Drosophila melanogaster: one gene and its partners. The protein of the gene in region 1 interacts with the protein of each later gene in a biochemical or structural test. Each region holds a gene or a part of one and is shown on either strand. Other genes may lie near its edges.

Region 1 (7,800 bases):
ATTTTTAAGCTTATTTTTAATGTTAAAGTAACCTTGGATGGATCCGGATCTTGGTTAGTAGTAAGACATTATACAGTGGTCGGGATAAATATGTGTCTTAGATACAAATCGATTCAATGGGTTGTTGATGATTAACTATTACTTACCACCGTATCTTTCAAAAGTCATATAAGATTTTGTTTCCCCTCCTTTGGGGTGCGCAATGCCAGTTCGCAAATTAGACAAAGATATCGTACTCTCGGGTATTCTTTGTGAAGTCAATCGCAAATTGACTTGGAAAATATATATGGATAAATCAAAATCAAACAAATCGCACTGCCACGGGAAATCGATAACTTTTTTTTTTTTTGATAGCTCTGATTCCGTGCTAATATTGAAAAATATTAGTAACGCTTTTAACGCGCTTATGTATCGCAAAAATTGAAATTTTTGGTCTCTCAACTATTCTGCAAAGGGAAAGAAAATAAAATTAGGAATGCGCATGAACGAACATATGTATACCACTCCGTACTAAGTATTTCTTACATTACTTTAGTTTAGCTCAAATTTACTTATAATTTCGAAGGAAAAAGGTTAATTTAACATTCAAGTATATATATATTTTACATATATATCTTTTCCTATTACTTATGTATTCAGTACTTTTGTATAATGGCCATAAAAAACACTGTTGAAGCGTGATTTTTGTGTAAGCACGAAGTAAAGTAGCTTTATGCAGATATACACTAGACCCAACGTTACAAAAATTGTGGAAAACTGAATTATTTAGTATAGATATATATAAATGTACATTTTCATGCACGTATGCATTTACATATGGATGAAAGCCACGCCATTTAAACTTTTGAGGTTGTGTTCGTTTTGGTCACAATCACTTTTCAATACCTTTTCCACAAGTTTTCTATAAAGCGTTTCTGATCACAATGAAAGTAAATTAATAATTTTACTGAATTAACCGTTTAAGAAAAGATTTTCTCCGAAGTCCACGAACATACGACTAAACGTCACAGCACAATATGACCATAACGACTTTAGTGGGCTGCAGCCTATCACTATCGATTGGCCGAATATGATGTGAATGAATTTTAGCCTTTTCACACTTTCACTTTTATATAATTTATATGGTATTTATTAAAATGAAGATATGTAATAATACGCTTAAAAACGAAAGACCATTTTTAAAAATGAAGTTGACTAAAATAGAAACAAATATATGTGTTATATAATTAAACGTAGTTCCAATCAGCCTTTTAAAATATATGTTATAAGAGTGGATCATCTGTATTTCTTCTATATTCCAATACCAATATACCACATTTTTTGTAGAGGATATCTTATTTATTTTATTGAAAAAATGTTTAAAATATTATTTCAAGAGCCACATTTTAAATAGTATCGATACCCAACTCGCAGTGAGTAAGCACTAGAATGTAACTACGGGTAAGATATCGATTGTCCACGTTTTCACTAGCAAATATAAATTGCATTTTATGGAATACTTATCGATATTCTTACAGTACTGGAAAACTTTTTCATATCGATTTATTTTTCTGCGTATACAGAACGTACTTTCGTTTCATTGTTGTCCAAAAAAGATAATAATATTATATACTTGCGGTTATTTACAACTGCAAGTAATGTGTCACTAATTTTTAGTGAAAATAACACAAAATACGACTTGTACGGCAAATAAGTATACGAGGCAATCACGATAAATAAAAAACCGTGAGTATGGAATTTCAAGTGGACGCTTCTCAATACTTACATGCACATATATCGATGTGTGGATATGTACATACACCTTGTTATAAACAGTTTAAATCTTTTCTGACGTAATAAAATCTCAAGAATGTACATGTAAAACCAACAAAATGTTTTCAAACTGCATTCAAATTAATGCTTAACCATAACCTTGTGTGTATGTAAATATAAACTTGGCAGGTTGATTTTTTTTTACCATTCTGCTGGCACTAAACATACGTACAAGTGTATGTATGTGATGCACTCGGCGTCATTTATCTGTACATGTGTAAAATGTAACGTTACCTGTGGTACACAGCAATAAATAAATAGAAATAAGTTCATAAATAGTTCGGGTAACTGCCCAGCTTCGTGCTACGCATCTGAGATACTTTTTCACCCCCAAAAAGATATGCCGCTTCATGAGATTGCGACAGGTGGAGATTATTGCATTTCCAATAGGATACCAAAATGTCTTTTCACTTTTGCTCAAATGTCTGGGGGATTATTTTGTGGTGGGGTTTGTGGGTTTAATGGCTTTGTTGGTATCTCTTCTATAGATATGATGAATTTTGTAGCAAAAGATTTAATTGGTGTATTTGTTTTCAGTTTGTTAAGTATACATTAACTCAAGTTTTTACTACATTTTTAAGGGTTTCAAACTTATGTTTTTATATAAAAAAGAAATATTTATTAAATAATAAAACACTAAAAAATCGAATTGGTAGAAAAAATATTGGGTTATTTCCTTTTTTCTTGCATGATTTTAATATTTGATGTTTAATATTATTACAGAAACTTGGATTTGTAGCTTGCTTTGTGTTGCGGCACCATGGAGGACCCCAATCGCATGTTGGCCCACACCGGCGGCATGATGGCTCCGCAAGGATACGGCTTGTCTGGCCAGGATGATGGCCAGAATGCCGGCAGCGAGAACGAGGTGCGCAAGCAGAAGGACATCGGCGAGATATTGCAACAGATAATGAGTATCTCGGAGCAATCACTTGACGAGGCCCAGGCCAGAAAACATACACTAAACTGTCACCGAATGAAGCCGGCACTTTTCTCTGTACTTTGCGAAATCAAGGAGAAGACCGGTAAGCTTAAAACCCTATATTTATCTCTCATTCAAGACCATCAAATAAGTTGAAATGGTATTATGGATTTTGTGATTTGCTTGTGATACAATTGATTTACTAAATCAAACACAATTCTTAACGTAATAGTCTTAAAACGTTCAGTATGAAATTATTTTTATCATTCGTCTTCTTCGTTAAAACTATTACAGTCCTCTCGATTCGCAACACCCAGGAGGAGGAGCCCCCAGATCCGCAACTGATGCGCTTGGACAACATGCTGATTGCCGAGGGCGTGGCCGGACCCGAGAAGGGCGGTGGCGGAGCAGCGGCTGCCTCTGCGGCTGCGGCCAGCCAGGGCGGTTCCCTGTCCATCGATGGTGCTGACAATGCCATTGAGCATTCCGACTACCGTGCCAAGCTGGCACAGATCCGTCAAATATATCACCAGGAATTGGAGAAGTACGAGCAGGCATGCAACGAGTTCACCACGCATGTCATGAATCTTCTACGCGAACAGAGTCGCACGAGGTTGGTGTATATAGATAAATGCAAAATGATGGCCATCATTTGGGTAATATAATCGTATTTCAGACCCATTACACCAAAGGAAATCGAGCGAATGGTGCAGATCATCCACAAAAAGTTTAGTTCCATACAAATGCAGCTGAAGCAGTCGACCTGCGAGGCTGTAATGATACTTCGTTCGCGTTTCCTGGACGCACGCCGCAAACGCCGCAATTTCAGCAAGCAGGCATCCGAGATTCTCAACGAGTACTTCTACAGTCACTTGAGCAACCCATATCCATCCGAAGAGGCCAAAGAGGAGTTGGCACGAAAGTGTGGCATCACGGTAAGTAGTGTAGGGCACATTAATCAACAATGCAAATCCGATTGCAGCATAGTAAATAAAACAAAACACACTCATGCAGGTCTCGCAAGTATCGAATTGGTTTGGCAACAAGCGTATTCGCTATAAGAAGAACATTGGTAAGGCACAGGAGGAGGCCAATTTGTATGCGGCCAAGAAGGCGGCTGGTGCTTCACCGTATTCCATGGCCGGTCCACCCAGCGGGACAACCACACCCATGATGTCACCCGCTCCGCCACAGGATTCCATGGGCTATCCAATGGGCTCCGGCGGATACGACCAGCAGCAACCGTACGACAACAGCATGGGCGGCTACGACCCAAATCTCCATCAGGATCTAAGCCCCTGAGGATCAGGGCTGTGAACCACTCCCAGTCCGGAGAATCCCTCATACAGTTGCGGTCAAAATAACTGCGCTGAAAAATCTAACATGCAGTTTTTTCATAATTATGCGGCTTATATTTGCTTCTTCGCCAAGAACAACAATTCTTAAGGGATTTTTAAATTCAGCTTTCTGTCCTTTGGTTTCGAGTCAGATAAGTTTAAAATTCCCATCAATTTAGATATAGTTCCGATAGATATACATAAATACGTGAGTAGAATATAAATACGTAATAGTTAGTTTGTGCTTGCTACATTTTGGTTGGCAGAAAAAACTTTGCCTGCTTAAATCAAAAAAGAAAGTAAATAAGCTGATATGGTTTTTTAATTGACACAGTCTCCTGCTTTTTAACAATATATGCATGCAGGATGTATTAAGAAGTCGACAATTGAATAATGGCCTAATTAAGAATATTTTTTGCCCGAACATAAAACGAAAAGTTTGCTCGCTTTTTTTTTTTAATTCACAATCAATTGAAATGGAAAGCATGTTGTTTGTGGCATGTCAACTGTAAAATACATAAATACGTAATAATTCGCTTAAGCGATTATAATTTGATCAACGTTCTTTAAAAAGGGTTAATAACCAATGCAGTGACTTTTTCTGCATAGCCCCATTTAGCTTATATATTAACCATCGAAAACATATGCAAAGAAACTCGATTAAACTGGTAGTATACGAATATTTTCACAACGAGTGGAGGAGGCACAAGTTTCAGAGCTATTATTTTGACCGCAGCTGTGTATAAATATATTTTAATACATTTACCTACATTTGCGGGTATATACAAATATTGCATGTAAATCATACTATGACGATTCTTTTTTGGCTACAGTACGTATACGACAGCAAAATAGTGTTTACTGAATTTAAAACTGTACGAAATTTTTAAAAACTTGAACAATACGAAAATACGAAACTAAACCATGTATACGATGTATATCAAATAAATAAATAATACATGTTGTTGTTATCCGCACACACGTCAACTAATTACAAAAATATTTTGAATGTAAAAACGGAAAAGAAAAGTCTTGGATAAACAAAATGTCACATTTCTATCGAAGGACGAATTGTATTATTTAACAGCTTATAACATTTAATAGATTTATTAACGTGTATTTTAAAAGTCTCAAAACAATTGTTTGTTTCTTACATCCTAAAAAGTATTAAACATTAAATCTTAATGGATTTCTTGCTATAAAAACGAACTTCCCAACTTAATTGCATTATAAAATCAAGAACAAATTCGTCTTTCGCTTAGTAAGAAGTGTACACTACTCTTTGCCCCCAATTAAAACGGATATGAAAACAGATTATTTGAAAGTATACAAAACGATTATAATTTTAAATGATAAATAACATATGTCTTTGACAGACTTTCGCTCACATTACGGTCAAATGAAACCATTCAATGTATTTCAGTAAGTAAGGTACTGCATTAAACATTTTGGATAACAATAGAAAAATATATAAATACACAACTTTACACAAATAACTTAATAAATCAAAACGAAGTATTAATTAATGGTTTTTTGGGAGTATTAAAGAAAAGGGCGTTATCCTTTGCAGATAATCTATACACGTAATAGAAAGAGATGGAGCATCTGTAGATACACTTGCTCTTCTTTAATTAAAACTATCTGGCTCACAGATAGAAATCATTCTTTTATGTGGGGTTGGTCAATAAAAACAGAAGAATTTTAATTTTTTAGATTTTTGGCAGCTGTAAAACAGACAAAAAATTTTAATTTTAGGCGTATTTTATTTTTATTATGGTTCATTACGGCTTAATGTACTTCACCCCACATCTTACAGTTATTCCCAAAAGTGTGTAGTAATTTATATAAATCACTTTGATCGACCAATTTTAAATTTATAAATAATAAAGTAGAAATTTTAAAAAAATTCACCCGCTGCCCCAATGCATTCCACAATTTAAGAACACGTTCCACTTATCTAGCACTCAATCGCCGCTACCTTGACGCGCATGCTGGCACTGCCCGGAATACTTTGAATTGTCAATACGGCCACACTGTTGGCAACACGTGCACGAATTCGACATTTGATTTGAATTCGTTTTGATTTTTATCGTAATTGTACGAAAAGCCAGCAGCAATGGGCAAGAAGACGAAAGTTGGAAAGACGCGCAAGGATAAGTTCTACCAGTTGGCCAAGGAGACGGGCCTGCGATCGCGTGCCGCCTTCAAATTGATCCAGCTGAATCGCAAATTCGGTTTCCTCCAACAATCGCAAGTATGTTTGGATTTGTGCGCAGCTCCCGGTGGCTGGATGCAGGTGGCCAAGCAGAATATGCCGGTGTCCAGCATTGTGATCGGCGTGGATCTCTTTCCCATCCGTCCCATTGCCGGCTGCATTGGTCTCGTCGAGGACATCACCACCGAGAAGTGCCGCCAATCGCTGACCAAGGAGCTGCAATCGTGGAAGGCCGATGTTGTGCTCCACGACGGTGCTCCCAATGTGGGTAGGAACTGGCTGTACGATGCCTATCAGCAGATCTGTCTCACCCTCAACGCGCTCAAGTTGAGCACACAGTTTCTGCGCAACGGCGGCTGGTTTGTGACGAAGGTTTTCCGCTCCAAGGATTACAATGCCCTGCTCTGGGTGCTCAAGCAGCTGTTCAAGAAGGTGCACGCCACCAAGCCGAGTGCGTCGCGTAAGGAATCCGCCGAGATATTCGTCGTCTGTCAGGGCTACCTGGCGCCCGATCACATTGATCCCCGTCTCCTGGACTCGAAGTATGTGTTCGAGGAGCTGGATCTCGATGCCAAAAAGAAGAGCAGCCTGCTGCATCCCGAAAAGCAAAAGCGCATCAAGGCCGAGGGCTATACGGCCCAGGATATTGCGCTGCGCAACGATCTGGCTGCCACAGAGTTCCTGAAGGCTGAAAATGCACTGGCTGCGCTGCAGGGCATCGGTTCGATTCGCATCGATGATCAGCGCATTGCCAATCACAAGAAGACCACGCCAGAGATTCTCGAGTGCTGCAAGGATCTGAAGGTATTGGGCCGCAAGGATATCAAGGGTCTCGTGCAATGGTGGAAGGATGTTAGGGAGTTGTTCGTTGAAAAGGAAACCCCACTGGTCGTCGGCAATGCCGCAGATGAGAAGCCCAAGCCATTGACGCAAGCGGAAATCGAGGACATGGAAGATGCCGAGCTGCAAACGCAAATTGAGACAATTGTCGAAGAGGAGAAGAAGGACTTGAAGCGTAAGCGTAAGAAGACGCTCAAGACCAAGGCGAAATTGCACGAGAAGATGAACCTTAATATGGTGATCAAGGGAGACGATGGTCCGGTCGAGGAAATGGAGCACGAAATCTTTGACCTCAAGAATATTCGCACCTCTGCCGAGCTTGACGAGCTGCTAGACGTGCAACCCGATTTTGCTGTCGATGAATCGCAGCCCGAGGAAACAAAGCTGCCAAAATACAAGTATTTCGACAAGGATGAGGGCAACATCAACGATGATCTAAACTATGACGATGACAATGATGAGGAGCAAAGCGAGGCCTCCGACGACGAGGATCAAATCAATGATAAGCAGGGCCTGGGCCTCAGTGACGACGACAATGATGAGGGCAATGCAAAGGGCAAAAACAAGAGAAAGAAACGCTCCGAGAATCCGCTGATTAAATCCAATGATTTCCGTGACAAAAACACCAAGCGAGAGCAACGCGTACAGCTGTGGTACGAGAAGGATGTACTACA
Region 2 (6,230 bases), on another chromosome or scaffold:
CTGAAAACTGAAAACTGGTAGCTGCCAAAAAGCAGAGAGAGGAAATTAATTTAAATTGGCCTTTAATGTAAATGCATCTCTCAATGCATCGCCAACTGCAGTTGGTTCTGTAGGAGTTTGCTCCGCTCCAGATACAGCTTATATCCCGACTAACACCGACTTGTGTTTGCCCCCAAATTGGGGGTATTTATCAACTACTCGTAGACATGGACTACCCATCCTACAACCAATTTCAAGAACCCCCATTTCCATTACGGATGCGTGAAGAACTCAAATGGCAAGGTATTAACGAATTGTCGTGAGTTTGGTTCGGGGAGGGGTATTCATTTTTCTTGGATCGTTTAATTGGAAACTGTTGCTGTTGCAGTTTCGTTGATGCACTGAGACAAAATCATACTAACATTAATTTTAACCTCTCTTGCTATTCAAATATAAAGCCCCAAATAGTAATAAAATTCAGTAATTGTGTATGGAAAAGAAAAAAAAATTTGTTTAAATAAACAGTTTAATGTTTGGAAAAGTAAATTTAAAATTAGTTATAAATATGTTACATTGTATTATAAAAGTTACCATAAGTGCGTTACATAAGTTACAAAGTTTTTCTTTGTGTTTTTTCTATGTCCAGATTTAATTCAAAAATTCCAACTTCGCGTTACGCGCTGTTTTCTTTAACTAAAAACAAAATACAAACGCTGCTGATTGTTTCATATTAAAAATTGAGCGTGTGTGTGCGAGGGGCAACATTTACAATCGGAGGCAACATGCAAGCGATGATGAAAAATCGCCTGCAACATGTTGGATGCTGCTGGGGACCCTCCATGGATCTAGAATGGAATGGGATCCGAGAGGATGCTATGCTATGCTATGGATTGGGATACGAGAGTCTGGCGCTGGCTGCCCGCTGGCATCGCCAACATCAACTCCAATTACAGAAGTACACGCAGGCGTCTCTCTTATGATTTTTTTTTTTTAGTTTTTCATTTATTTTCCATCATTTGTTTTTTTCTATACTTTTATATGGTTTGTGGATGATGCGGGCCAACCATAAAGAGCTGACATGTGTGTTTCAAAAACACAGCGGAAAACATATGGCAAAAAATACGACTTCTATAAGAAGAACAAATCGAATTGGTACATAAACTTAAGCTATAAATTCCGAAATACGTACTTACAAAATTTATTTATATTTTAATAAACATATTTTCGAAAGAATTGCTGATTTCGCGTTTCGGGTTTCGAAAGTAACCGTTCAGTACCACTTAAAAAAACACTTTTATTACAAGTTCGTATCAAATAAACGTATTAAGTTTATACGTTTTTAAATAAGATAATTTTTAAGACACTCACTATAAATACTTATTAAAACAAACTTTTGCTTTTGCAATATATTACGAATGACCTATGCCATTTATCTGTATTTGGTATATGTTTGTGGTTTCGCAACATAAACGTTAGATTCCAAAAATAAAAATAAAAAAAATAATCTCATTCAAAATCGATTTTGGGTGTGTCTTAACCAGCAACTCATTTTTATGATAAAAAATAGCTAATCAACATTTAAATCTCCGAGACAAACTAATCAATTGAATTCAAATTCAAATGACGCCAAAATCAAACCATATGTGTGTTCAGCTCTGAATGCGATGCTGGATTGTTGGTAGCAAATATGAAATCGACTTTTAATTAAGGCATTTAGCCAAACAAATCAAAATCGTTAAGCCCCGATGCTGAATGAATCATGAGAACTTGAACTTGGCTACGGCCCAAAGAGAACCCGATCCGCAGCCCCGAAACAGACCGATAAATTTAAATTCAGAGACAACTGCCAACGAGCTCGTTTTAAAGGAGGAATAACTTAAGCTTCAGCAGGAGACTTTGCATTTTGCCAGGCCAATAAAAATGGAAATGAACGCGGAGCGGAACGTTTATAAAATAATAATGCGAAATAATAATGTGGCGGTGATTTAGCGGAACAGTGCCACGATTGAATACAAATAAAGTGGGGGAGACGCCTAATCTAGGATGATTTCGGCCTAATCTGGAGCGTGAACCGGGGGCAGATGTGTCCTGGAGTGGCTGCCAACTACCTGTTTTTTCTCGCTTTTCTCGTATTTCTCGCTTTTCTCGAGAGCGCGCTTTTCCCCAAATCGAGGGAAAAGCTGGAGCGCCATAGGCCGGTTGCCGTGGCACCCTCGTCGCATAAATCAAGACTGGGGGCGGAGTCTGCCGTGGGTGCAAGTGGGACAGCAGGATTTTCGAAAATGCGCACTGTCCGTCCTCTCTCTCGCACTCGTTGGCCGGGTCCTCAAATGATTTACAGTGTTCGAAACGCACACAAGGCAACGCACGAGAGGGTCGTTTTGTCGGTTTTTATGGCTCAAACGTGAATTGAACGTGGCGCACTTCAGTCGCCAAGCAGCGCGCTCGGTCTTCTGCAAACATAAAAAGATACAGATACACGTTCTCGTATTCGTACGCGTAGCAATCCGCGAAGTTTCCGCTTGAAAGCCAGTCTTGCGATTCCATGGAAAGCTCTTTGGCGACGGCAAGGTGCCATGGTCTCCCCATAGCGGATACTTTACCGACTAACTCCTTTACATAGGAGCGGAATTACCTACCCACCTCAAATAATTTCTCAAACTGCTCATCTTCGCAAATAACTAAGATAGCAAAGTGCAGTGCAAAAGGCAAATACAATTAATACGAAAATAAAAAGTATACAGTGAAGTGCTGGCTAAGAAAACTAATTGAATTACAACGACTTGTTCGTAGCGTCTGATTGGATTTCCCCAAATCGTCCACATAAAGGTAAGAAAATAACAAACGTAGAAAAACTAAACTCTGAATGTAAGAAGAAAATTTAAGAAAGTTTTGCCCTTAAAGGTTTAAATGAAACCATCGATATATCGTTAAATGGTTCCTTTTAACCTTTCTAAACTTTTCCACTCAAATCATTCTGAATTAAAACTGCACTGTGGTGTGGAGGATTGAATATTTTAGAGTCAATTTAACAAACAATAAATATTGTAGAATACAAAAAAGGTGTCAATTGTAAAAAATCAATATAATATATATATATATATTTTTTATAAATATATATTATTTTAGCAAGTTCAGAAATCCAATTACTTTACTTCTTTGCAATACCTCCAAATGTTATATAAACTAACTGCACACTTAACTAAAAAAAAATATATGAACAACATTAAAAATATATATTAAATCTTCAGAGACAGATTTTACTTCTCCAAACTCCCAAAATGAGTCCCAGAGTCTTGATTTTATCCCAACTAGCCCAAAGTACGGAGTTCGAATGTTTATGATTTGGTCCCCCGAAATCGATCTCACACGGACAGTGTCGGTGAGAACAATAAGACTTTAGTCGCAGTTCGAAACATGATTTTCGAACTACCGAGTAACGATCTCTCTCAATAAGAACTTGTTCGAAACACGCGAGAGCGGTGCTTTTCGAACTACCGCTCTTTCGAACTCACACACACACACACCGATGTGTCGTATTCGTATCCGTGAGATACAATTTGTGGGAACGAATTTCTGGTTTGGCGGTTGATTCGAAACGTTCTTCGCGTCCGCAAAGGTAGTTTCAGCACATGCCTGAGAGCGAGCGAGATGGCGGAGCGGCGCAATGCCCGTTGTCTCTCTCGCACACTTTTCGAATAATGAACACTGCACTTGGACGACGATATGTAGCTGTATAGCCATATAGCCTTACTTGCTCGTACTCGCAGATACAATTGGACGGGGGAAATGGAGCAGTATGAGTGAGCCAGAGCGCTGGCGTATCTGTGTTTTTTATTGATGCTCAGAAATTTGAATTATGCCCGAGCAGTCAAAGTGAGACATTGGCGCTTCGAGCACGTATCCGCGGATACACCGGAATAACAGAAAAAAAAGCACAAATAAAAAAACTCAAACAATCCAACACTCAGCTGTTCCGCGTGTAAAGACCCTCGAATACTGTTCGATTTTAGCGAAAGATGGATGGACTGCAAAGTGCTTGCATCGATGCTGGCGCTGATGGACAGTCATAAATTCGGCGTGAAATTCGCGCAGATACTTAGATACTCCGTCATAGCGCATATACTTATCGTGATCTGTAACAAATTGCGCGTGTGCTTGTGTGTTTGTGATACCAAAAGCCGTCCAAATCCGTCGCTTAGCCCTTTGCGGCCAATTACCCATTAGAACCATCCAAAACATAAGCCTGCAGGTAGGACGCAAAAGTCTAGCCAGTTTGCCCTCAGGATGCCATCGGATTAATTTCCCAGATATCCGGCTGGTTGTGACAATTCTACCTTCGTAATTGTGCACGTTGATTTCCGCACTCAGCACAAGTGAAAATCGTGGTTCAGTGCAGTGAAAATCAGAAAACAAACTCACTTGAACGGAGGTGAACGCCGTCGGCTAACTAAAATTGTGAGTAAACGAGTTTAACGGCTGAAAATATTTTAAGCGCTTTGGAACAGGTGAAAACAGTCATGGAAAGGATATTTATTCGTTGTCAGTTTTTGTTTTGTATTTTCTAGTGTTTTTTTTTTTGATGTGTTAAGAACTTATGTAGCAATATTTGGTCTAAAGCAATTTAATTATAGTTTTTTCTTAACAATTTGATGCGATTTTATTTATCAAATAATATTTACAATAAAAAAGTGCTTTGTTCGTATGTACATATTTTTTTAAGTAACAATATTTCTACCACCTTAAATTTTATTTTTAATCTTACAATCTTTATCTTGTACTTTGACTTTCTTATTGAAGAAATAATACCAACACTAGTAAGTTAAAAAAAAATAAGAAATTTTTAATTTCTTTAATAAATCAATTTAATATTCTTTGAAGAAATCATCAAAGGTGCGTAATAATTTCCCCTGTTTGCTTCTTAAGACACTCCATATCAAATAATATAATTTGAAAAAATCAATGAAATATATTTTGATACCTAGTAACCGAACCCAGAAAATACATTTTATATATTTCCCTATATCGGGGCTTTGTTTCTGTATTCTGTTTAAGCAATTTTTCATAAGGTTGCGTGTGCGGTATCAACGCAAGGAATTTTCACTTCATTAAAGCGAAATGCAGCCGCTTTTGAAATAATTAAGAGGCACAAAGGCGAAATGTCACAGCGAATGAAAAATGCCTAACAAGCGCCGCATATAGAAGGTTAATCCAGACACATAGCGTTATATACCGAGCCCAAGCTGGGATAGGGATGAAGAAATGCCCACGATATAGGCTTGGCTACTATCCGGGGAACTCGAACTCATGCTGGCCAAGACGCCATGGGGCGAACATGAAATTATGTAAAATAAAAGAAGACGCACTGGGCTGGAACTTCATGGGACTTTGCCAATGACCGAGTAAAGGCGATGCTCCTGGGCAGTATTCTACATCCCGGCATGGCATCCCACATGTGCTCTAGTCGTAAGTGGATGAAATTCCACTTGATGTAGGTCACTTTCATTCGCCCATCTCGCCAAGGGTGGGCCAAGATCAAAGAGCTGGAGAGCTGGCTGCATCGATTGCATAATATGGGCACAACACTGAGACAGTTGCAGGCCCAGTAACAATTCCACTCCGAATTGCAGTCTATACGGCTAATTGGAGGGTAGGGGCCAGTCCAAAGTTCTACGAGTGTCTTCAGCAGCGCTGTAATTTATTTGGCCTGCGCCTGGCGGAGACATTCATCATGGCCTAACCCCGGCTCTTCCTGACGCCCCCCTCAAATATTTCAACAATACTCGTTCATATTTATAAATCAAAATCGCAAGCACGCAAGCTGAAAATTTGTGCTAGAGTCGTTGATCTATTGGCCGCAAAAATGGCAGGCCGTTCTAACAGGAATAGAAAAGTCTACAATAAAAGCTAGAGTAGCAAAACGAAAAGATACAAGACCGAAAGACAAAATAATACAAAAGAGGTTGGAACAGCATATATTGAATGCCATTTGTTTAGAATTAAAAGAAATTTATTGAACCATGAATGCTGCGAGCATATACAACTAATACTTGTCTTAAAAACCCGCCCCTCTACCTAAATTTATCCTAATAGTTGTCCGACAAAACTGCTCTCCAAAAATATGACTACAAATTAAGTTGGCCAAGGATTACCCATAAACAGTGGCAAGACCAGGATACATTACACAATTGAGATGTCCTTGACCAGAAACAGGACTACTTAAAATGATAATTCCGACTCGACCATTGCGC
Region 3 (6,535 bases), on another chromosome or scaffold:
TACATAATTGCAAATATTAGTGAACTTATCAGTTGTTGTGGATACCACCCATTTTGCATAACATTATTCGATCGCCGTAGAGTGCTTTTTAATTTTATATCACAAAGTTTTGATGGCTGGCTTAAAGAAGCGAGCTGAAAACAAAGAAAGTCCATACTCAAAGCATGGTGGCTCTCTATATGTATTCGCATTGGTGGTCGTAATGTGCCTCAGTGGATGTGGATGCGACATCATTAATCACGTTTCAGTGTGTTGCCTCGTGCAGCAAGTGAACTTCCTTCTGCCGCCGCCTGACAGTCGCAACTGATTGCTGGATCTGAATTGGGATTTGGACTCAAATGCCCCGGACAAAGAGCAAGCAATAGCAACAAACACCCACTGTCCCCCAACCGAGCCATCCTCGTTGTACCACAACCCATCCTCCCTGCTGGCTCAGGGAGCCCTCATCCCTGCGCAAGCTGGGACTTTCCCAAACCTCCCACATCGTGCTTCCATCCACCTAAGGAGCTACGTCAGAACTGAGAAAATTCGATGTAGCAGCCGCTAATGCAACTGAGTTTTAAAGGTCCTCAAGCAGCAGCCATTCAGGAGTGTAATATGCTAAGCATGGAATCTAAATTTGGTACTATCTTTAAAAATTTTAAATACATAAGAAATTAAATAACAGTTTTCTGATTTTAAATTTTCGAGAAATATAATAATGTAATTTAAAAGCAATTATATTTTTGGATTTGGACCAAAGTTATTTGTAAACAAATATGCGTAATGAATCACACAGTAAAATTAGTAAACATGGAACTTCCATTAATTAACACTAGCTGGTCAATTAATTCGAACACTTTAACGTGGAATGAAGACCTAAACCAACATTTACTCCTATGAGTCTGGCCGACGGACCACAGACTAAATTTAAGTTTTATAAACTTAACTAGCCTAATGACGTTTTGATGGTGACCATCAAAATCGAATCAGTTGGAAGTCGATTAATTAGTGGCCATGCCCCTATACCGCTCACATATGGAACTGGTGAAGGAGGTGGCACAGCACGTGGACCTGATTGTAAGGGGGTTAAGATATTTTTGGTGGGTTTACCGGAGGTCCAATTATTCGGCAATTAGCCAGAGTCACTTTCAGAAACACACTCCAGAAGTGTGACACGAATTTATGCTCAATTTAACTTTTATTTGAAGTGAGTTAGGGCAGCTGGCTCTATAGGGTCAGCAGATTTCAAACTTATTAAAATATATATCACAAAAATTTAAAATCTGTTGAATTCATTAAGCGAAATAATCAAAAGTTTGTATGATATTACCTATAAATAAATTGTTAATATTCCGCATTGCTCGAAGTACGAATTTAAAAGTACAAGCCATATTTTCTTTTACCCACATTATGGATTGTTATGAATCAGTCTAAATATTTACTAAAAACAATATTAAAGCATTAAATATCCAACCTTCTCGATGTGCATTATACAACAATCATTCTATTGATTTTCCACGTTTCGCTTGCTCCATTTGAATATGTGCCCGTCATCGCCATAACAACAACATCGGAGGAAAAATCACGGTAGTAATGACAACAATAATAACAGCCTTAGCCCCAGCCAGACCACAACAATAATCACAGAGGAGAACAAAGTGATATTCGTTGGTTGTTCAATTGAAATTGTTGCAAGTCAGCTCGGACTCTCCAACTCGGTAGCTGAATTCAGACGAAGAAATCGGCATCCAATAGTACCGTCCCCTCTTTACGATCAATACTGTTGTTACCCACGCGTTCTCTGCATCGTTCCTACAGAATCCATTTATGAAAGTGGAAAATAAATGGTGTGCTCCATATCCACACTTACGTCTTGTCCGGGATCGATGAAAGCCTTCTGAAAATGGGCGGAGTTTCTTGGGTCCAGACAACTTTTTCGTCGAGTTCAATTTTCGAGCGTGCGCCATGACTTTGAAGGTACCAGCACACTCACAGCAAAAGTACAACCAAAATAGTAAGTCTGAGGGAAGAACAGTCGAGGGTAGGTAAGTAGGTGTGCTAATGAGCTAAACAGTGCTGTTTGAGATATAAATATAACATTGAATCAATTCAGAAATCCTATTTCTCTATGTAGACAATTGCGTTTTTAATTTTCTATTCGATTTACTGTCATTTCAATTTATTAATCCTTGGAAAGTAAAATAAGCTTATTTCGTAAAAAAATAAATAAGACGTTACTAAAATATAAAAAAAATATATACACTGTACAGTAAAAGTAAAATTATATTTTAAAGTTTTAATTAATGGCTTTTTATTTTTTTTTTTTAAGAATACTTCTTTGAACTAGTTCAATATTGTATGCCTTGACTGTTCACGCAACTCAAAATGGGTGTGACCAAAGATCTGGCCATCCCGCTTTAACCACAATGCTCCCTCTCAGTCGCGCTTGCGAGAGAACTATGGTCAGTGGTGGAAAATGGCGTACGAGGCGAAGGGTGAGAAAAGGTGAACAGACATGGCTGCTACATATGAATGGCTTTATTTGTGCGCGTGTGTGGGCCGTCCTTCGATTGCTTCGGCAGTGAAAACCCGTTTTGATGGCAATGGCGGTGAGAGAGAGCGAGCGAGAGCACAAGCAAACAAGAGCGAAGAGTGGCGAAACAGGTTCGCTCGCACGGAGAGTTATCGCCAGCGAGCATAACAAAAAATCGGCTCGAATGGGACGGTTCGTGTTCGCAGCGCACTCGTAAGACCGAAACGTCCGACTTTTCTCCCTGTGTGGGATTGAAATTCGTTGTAAAAACGTTTTTTATAACCGGAAAATAACACCATAATCAAGTTTCTCAGAATTCCAAGGCCCCACGGCTTTTAAAAGTGACAAAAAAGTGCAAACAAAGTATAATCAAAACAATAAAAGTGAAAATTATGAAGACAACGGGAGCCTTCTAACCCCTTTGTTTAGTTAAAAATATTAAAAAGAATACGAAATTTATTTTAACCAACACAATCTTAAAAGTAATTACTACTTGCAAAAGCAGCGCCTTTAATCAATAGTTAATGTACTAAAAGCAAAAGGTTCGGAGTATGTGCAATCCAAGTGATAGTGCCCAAGAAAAAATCGAATAACAAAGTAATAACCAGGAAAACGCATCCGGTGAACCCCGATCCAACAGACCTTCCGTCATGAGCTCTTTTCTCATGGGTTATCCGCATGCACCACATCATGTCCAGAGTCCCATGTCCATGGGCAATGGCTTGGACCCAAAGTTTCCGCCGTTGGCCGATGACTATCATCACTACAATGGACACTATTCGATGACCGCATCTACGGGTCATATGAGTGGTGCCGTCGGCGGTGGTGCAGGTGTTGGGTCTGTCGGAGGTGGTGGAGCAGGTGGGATGACTGGTCATCCGCATTCCATGCACCCGGCGGACATGGTCAGTGACTATATGGCGCATCACCACAATCCGCACAGCCACTCCCATTCGCACACCCACTCACTACCGCACCACCATAGCAACAGTGCAATATCTGGACACCACCAGGCATCCGCCGGCGGTTACAGTTCCAATTATGCCAATGCCACTCCGCCCTCACATCCGCACTCGCATCCACACGCCCATCCGCACCAGAGCCTCGGCTATTACGTCCACCACGCCCCCGAATTCATATCCGCAGGAGCGGTGCACTCCGATCCCACGAACGGATACGGACCGGCGGCAAACGTTCCAAATACGAGCAATGGCGGTGGTGGCGGAGGAAGTGGCGCAGTGCTCGGAGGTGGCGCAGTGGGTGGATCGGCAAATGGATATTACGGCGGGTACGGTGGGGGTTATGGGACGGCGAACGGAAGTGTGGGCAGCACCCACTCCCAAGGACACTCGCCGCACTCCCAGATGATGGATCTGCCCCTTCAGTGCAGCTCCACGGAACCACCGACGAACACGGCGCTGGGACTGCAGGAATTAGGTGAGTCCATACTAATAGAATTTCTGTTGTCTCTTGGAATCCGTTGAGATTTGATAGGAGGATATACTTAGTACTATTTCAATAATCTGAAGATTATCAATCGATCCTTATATTAAATATATATTTATATTTATATTTATATAATTATTTTTTTTATTTATATATCAATTCCATAGCAAAGTCATTTTACATTCGTATATCCAAACCTTTTAAAATGTCTAGGGAGCAGATTGAGAAAAACACTTAAAATAAGCCCACAAGATTGTTATGCCGCATAGTAATATTAAAAAAGATCTAATATTTTGTACATATATAAGCCCTTCAATTCGATTTTAGCTACTCTAATTACACTGTACCAAACTAAAGTGACTTCCATTCCATGCAGGCCTAAAACTAGAAAAACGCATAGAAGAAGCTGTACCTGCCGGACAACAACTGCAAGAGCTAGGGATGCGATTGCGGTGTGATGATATGGGATCCGAAAACGTAAGTACTTGCAGCAGATGTGCCAAGAGAGAATGCGTAATCGAGGCCTTGATTGACTTGTTTAGGACGATATGTCAGAGGAGGATCGGCTCATGCTGGATCGATCTCCAGACGAGCTGGGCTCCAACGACAACGACGACGACCTCGGGGACTCAGACAGCGATGAGGATCTGATGGCGGAGACGACCGATGGCGAACGGATCATCTACCCCTGGATGAAGAAGATCCATGTGGCGGGAGTTGGTAAGTTGAAAGTTTCTCTTTATCTCCTGCTCTCCCCTTCGCGCCCATGTCGTGTCCCATTTTTCGGGGTATGCTAATTAAATTACTTAGCTGCCAACACCCACTTGATTCACTGACAGGCCCCTGTAATGTTCGTTCCTGGGCGAAACCCAAAATGAAAATAAACAATCTAAAAGCCAAAGACACCAGCCAACCGAGTAACTTAAAAAAGAAAACTGCGACTCCAAGCTCATTAATCAAAATCAAGAGTGCCACGCCTTGCGTCGAGGGGCGAACCGTGTTCACCAAACGACAAGTTCCTGTACATACTACTCCTATATAATATAATATAATGCACATAACGTTAAGTGAGTCCCACTCGCTGCAATCAGCACTTTAAGAGGCTCCTGGTTATTAGGCCTCTTCAGAGGTTCTTTCAGCACTTGAACTGACATAAAATCAACTTGGACTGCTGAATGGTACGGTGCCAATTGATACATCATAAAAAGTCATCCTGGGAATGTAGTATAGAGCTGCATATATATGTAGTTTTTTTTTTTAGGCAATTGAAACATTTTTGTCTAGGAAGAAACAATCGTTAAATTAAACCTCGAAGATATTTTAACGAACACTCATTCTCATTTCAATGTTCTTCTGAAAAATTGTATGTATCCATTCATATGCTTAGCCCCCAGAAAATAATTTCCAGGCTCTCTGAATTATACACAGTAATTTTCTAAGGCCTACAATGAAAGCTTTTTCGACTCATTCTTGGCACAAAAACTGAATGCAACTTGGACATGGAGAACAGGTTTCTTGCCTGGTTTCATTCACCAGATCCAGAGACCGACTGAATGGGCTCAGTTGAGTTGACCTGGCAGAAATAATTACTAATTAATTGTCACCCCCCAAACGGGGAATTCATTCAGCCATGTTTCGAGTGTGTTACCAACAACATCTGACGGCCAACTGTAGATTGTCGTCGCTTATTGTTTTAATAAAACCAAAATAGGGATGCCACGGGGCGGCAAGTAGGTGACGAATGCGTTTCCCAGAGGATCGGATGGAGGTCTGAAGCTACTGATAGATTGCTTTTTAATTAGCACAGCACAGTACACAGGGATACTCCAGTTCGACCATAACCTTGACCCAAATGGGTAATTATAACGTTTCGCTTAACGCCACTCCGACTCGCTCATTGTCAAATGCCTCATCGGTTCATCGGGTTCCCAGTACCCACTCCCGATTTACTTGACTGTGGAAATTTGTCGTTTCACTGAAAAAAATATAGTACATAATTCAAAGTTGGCTTCAAACTAAAGGGTTTTTAAATAATTTCTAATTTTTAATAATCCAATTAAACATGTTAACATGATGAAATTTGGCTTTACAGTAGGAACCGAGGGTCATATAAAAGCAATGGCTTAACTATATTATTAATATATACCATTACACATTTATTGTGTTCGTACCGGTTTCTAAGATGCTATTTCTAATATTGGGACATTTAAAATAAAACAACAAAGCCCGCATTTGATTTTCTTTATTGTGGAAAGTTTTTCTTAGTGTCAGCATCAAAAATCAAACCCAAAAACGAAATATCGAAGTTGTGCGGCGCGCAGGGAGACAGGGAAACGATCGCTCGGGGGCATATTTGACACAGTCGCAAGGTACACCATACCAACTTATCTTCGGGCTCATGCTCGGATTCCGATTCCAAGCCCCCGCCCCTCCATCGGTAGGGTATAACTCCGACTGAGTGACGGATGGTCCGTGTCATTTGATGTTAATGTTGTGACATTTATCATGAGCGCACGACCACGAGAACAAGACGGGGCTTGATTATCGCCAGTGCATCATCTTATCCAGCGTCTT

The links. The genes of interacting proteins can lie anywhere in the genome.
Region 2: the proteins of exd (region 1) and Scr are reported together in a solved structure, tested with the Drosophila melanogaster proteins (2 studies listed by BioGRID, with this or other methods).
Region 3: the proteins of exd (region 1) and Dfd form a complex in vitro, tested with the Drosophila melanogaster proteins (one study listed by BioGRID).

Annotation. Positions count from the first base shown.
Region 1 is NC_004354.4:15,990,937-15,998,736, forward strand, and holds exd (extradenticle), read left to right. Parts: upstream 1-1,763; 5' UTR 1,764-1,988; intron 1,989-1,999; exon of another isoform or gene 2,000-2,177; intron 2,178-2,535; 5' UTR 2,536-2,572; coding exon 2,573-2,837; intron 2,838-3,028; coding exon 3,029-3,347; intron 3,348-3,410; coding exon 3,411-3,669; intron 3,670-3,748; coding exon 3,749-4,036; 3' UTR 4,037-5,573; downstream 5,574-7,800. Other genes in the region: CG46312 (uncharacterized protein), read right to left, coding at 147-168; CG8939 (uncharacterized protein), read left to right, coding at 6,188-7,800. UniProt on the Drosophila melanogaster protein: Transcription factor which acts with the selector homeodomain proteins altering the regulation of downstream target genes such as wingless (wg), teashirt (tsh) and decapentaplegic (dpp), thus affecting segmental identity.
Region 2 is NT_033777.3:6,846,123-6,852,352, reverse strand, and holds the start of Scr (Sex combs reduced), read left to right. Parts: upstream 1-2,371; 5' UTR 2,372-2,808; intron 2,809-3,847; exon of another isoform or gene 3,848-4,437; intron 4,438-6,230. UniProt on the Drosophila melanogaster protein: Sequence-specific transcription factor which is part of a developmental regulatory system that provides cells with specific positional identities on the anterior-posterior axis.
Region 3 is NT_033777.3:6,789,160-6,795,694, forward strand, and holds the start of Dfd (deformed), read left to right. Parts: upstream 1-2,676; 5' UTR 2,677-3,165; coding exon 3,166-3,952; intron 3,953-4,337; coding exon 4,338-4,438; intron 4,439-4,503; coding exon 4,504-4,681; intron 4,682-6,535. UniProt on the Drosophila melanogaster protein: Sequence-specific transcription factor which is part of a developmental regulatory system that provides cells with specific positional identities on the anterior-posterior axis. Homeotic protein controlling Drosophila head development.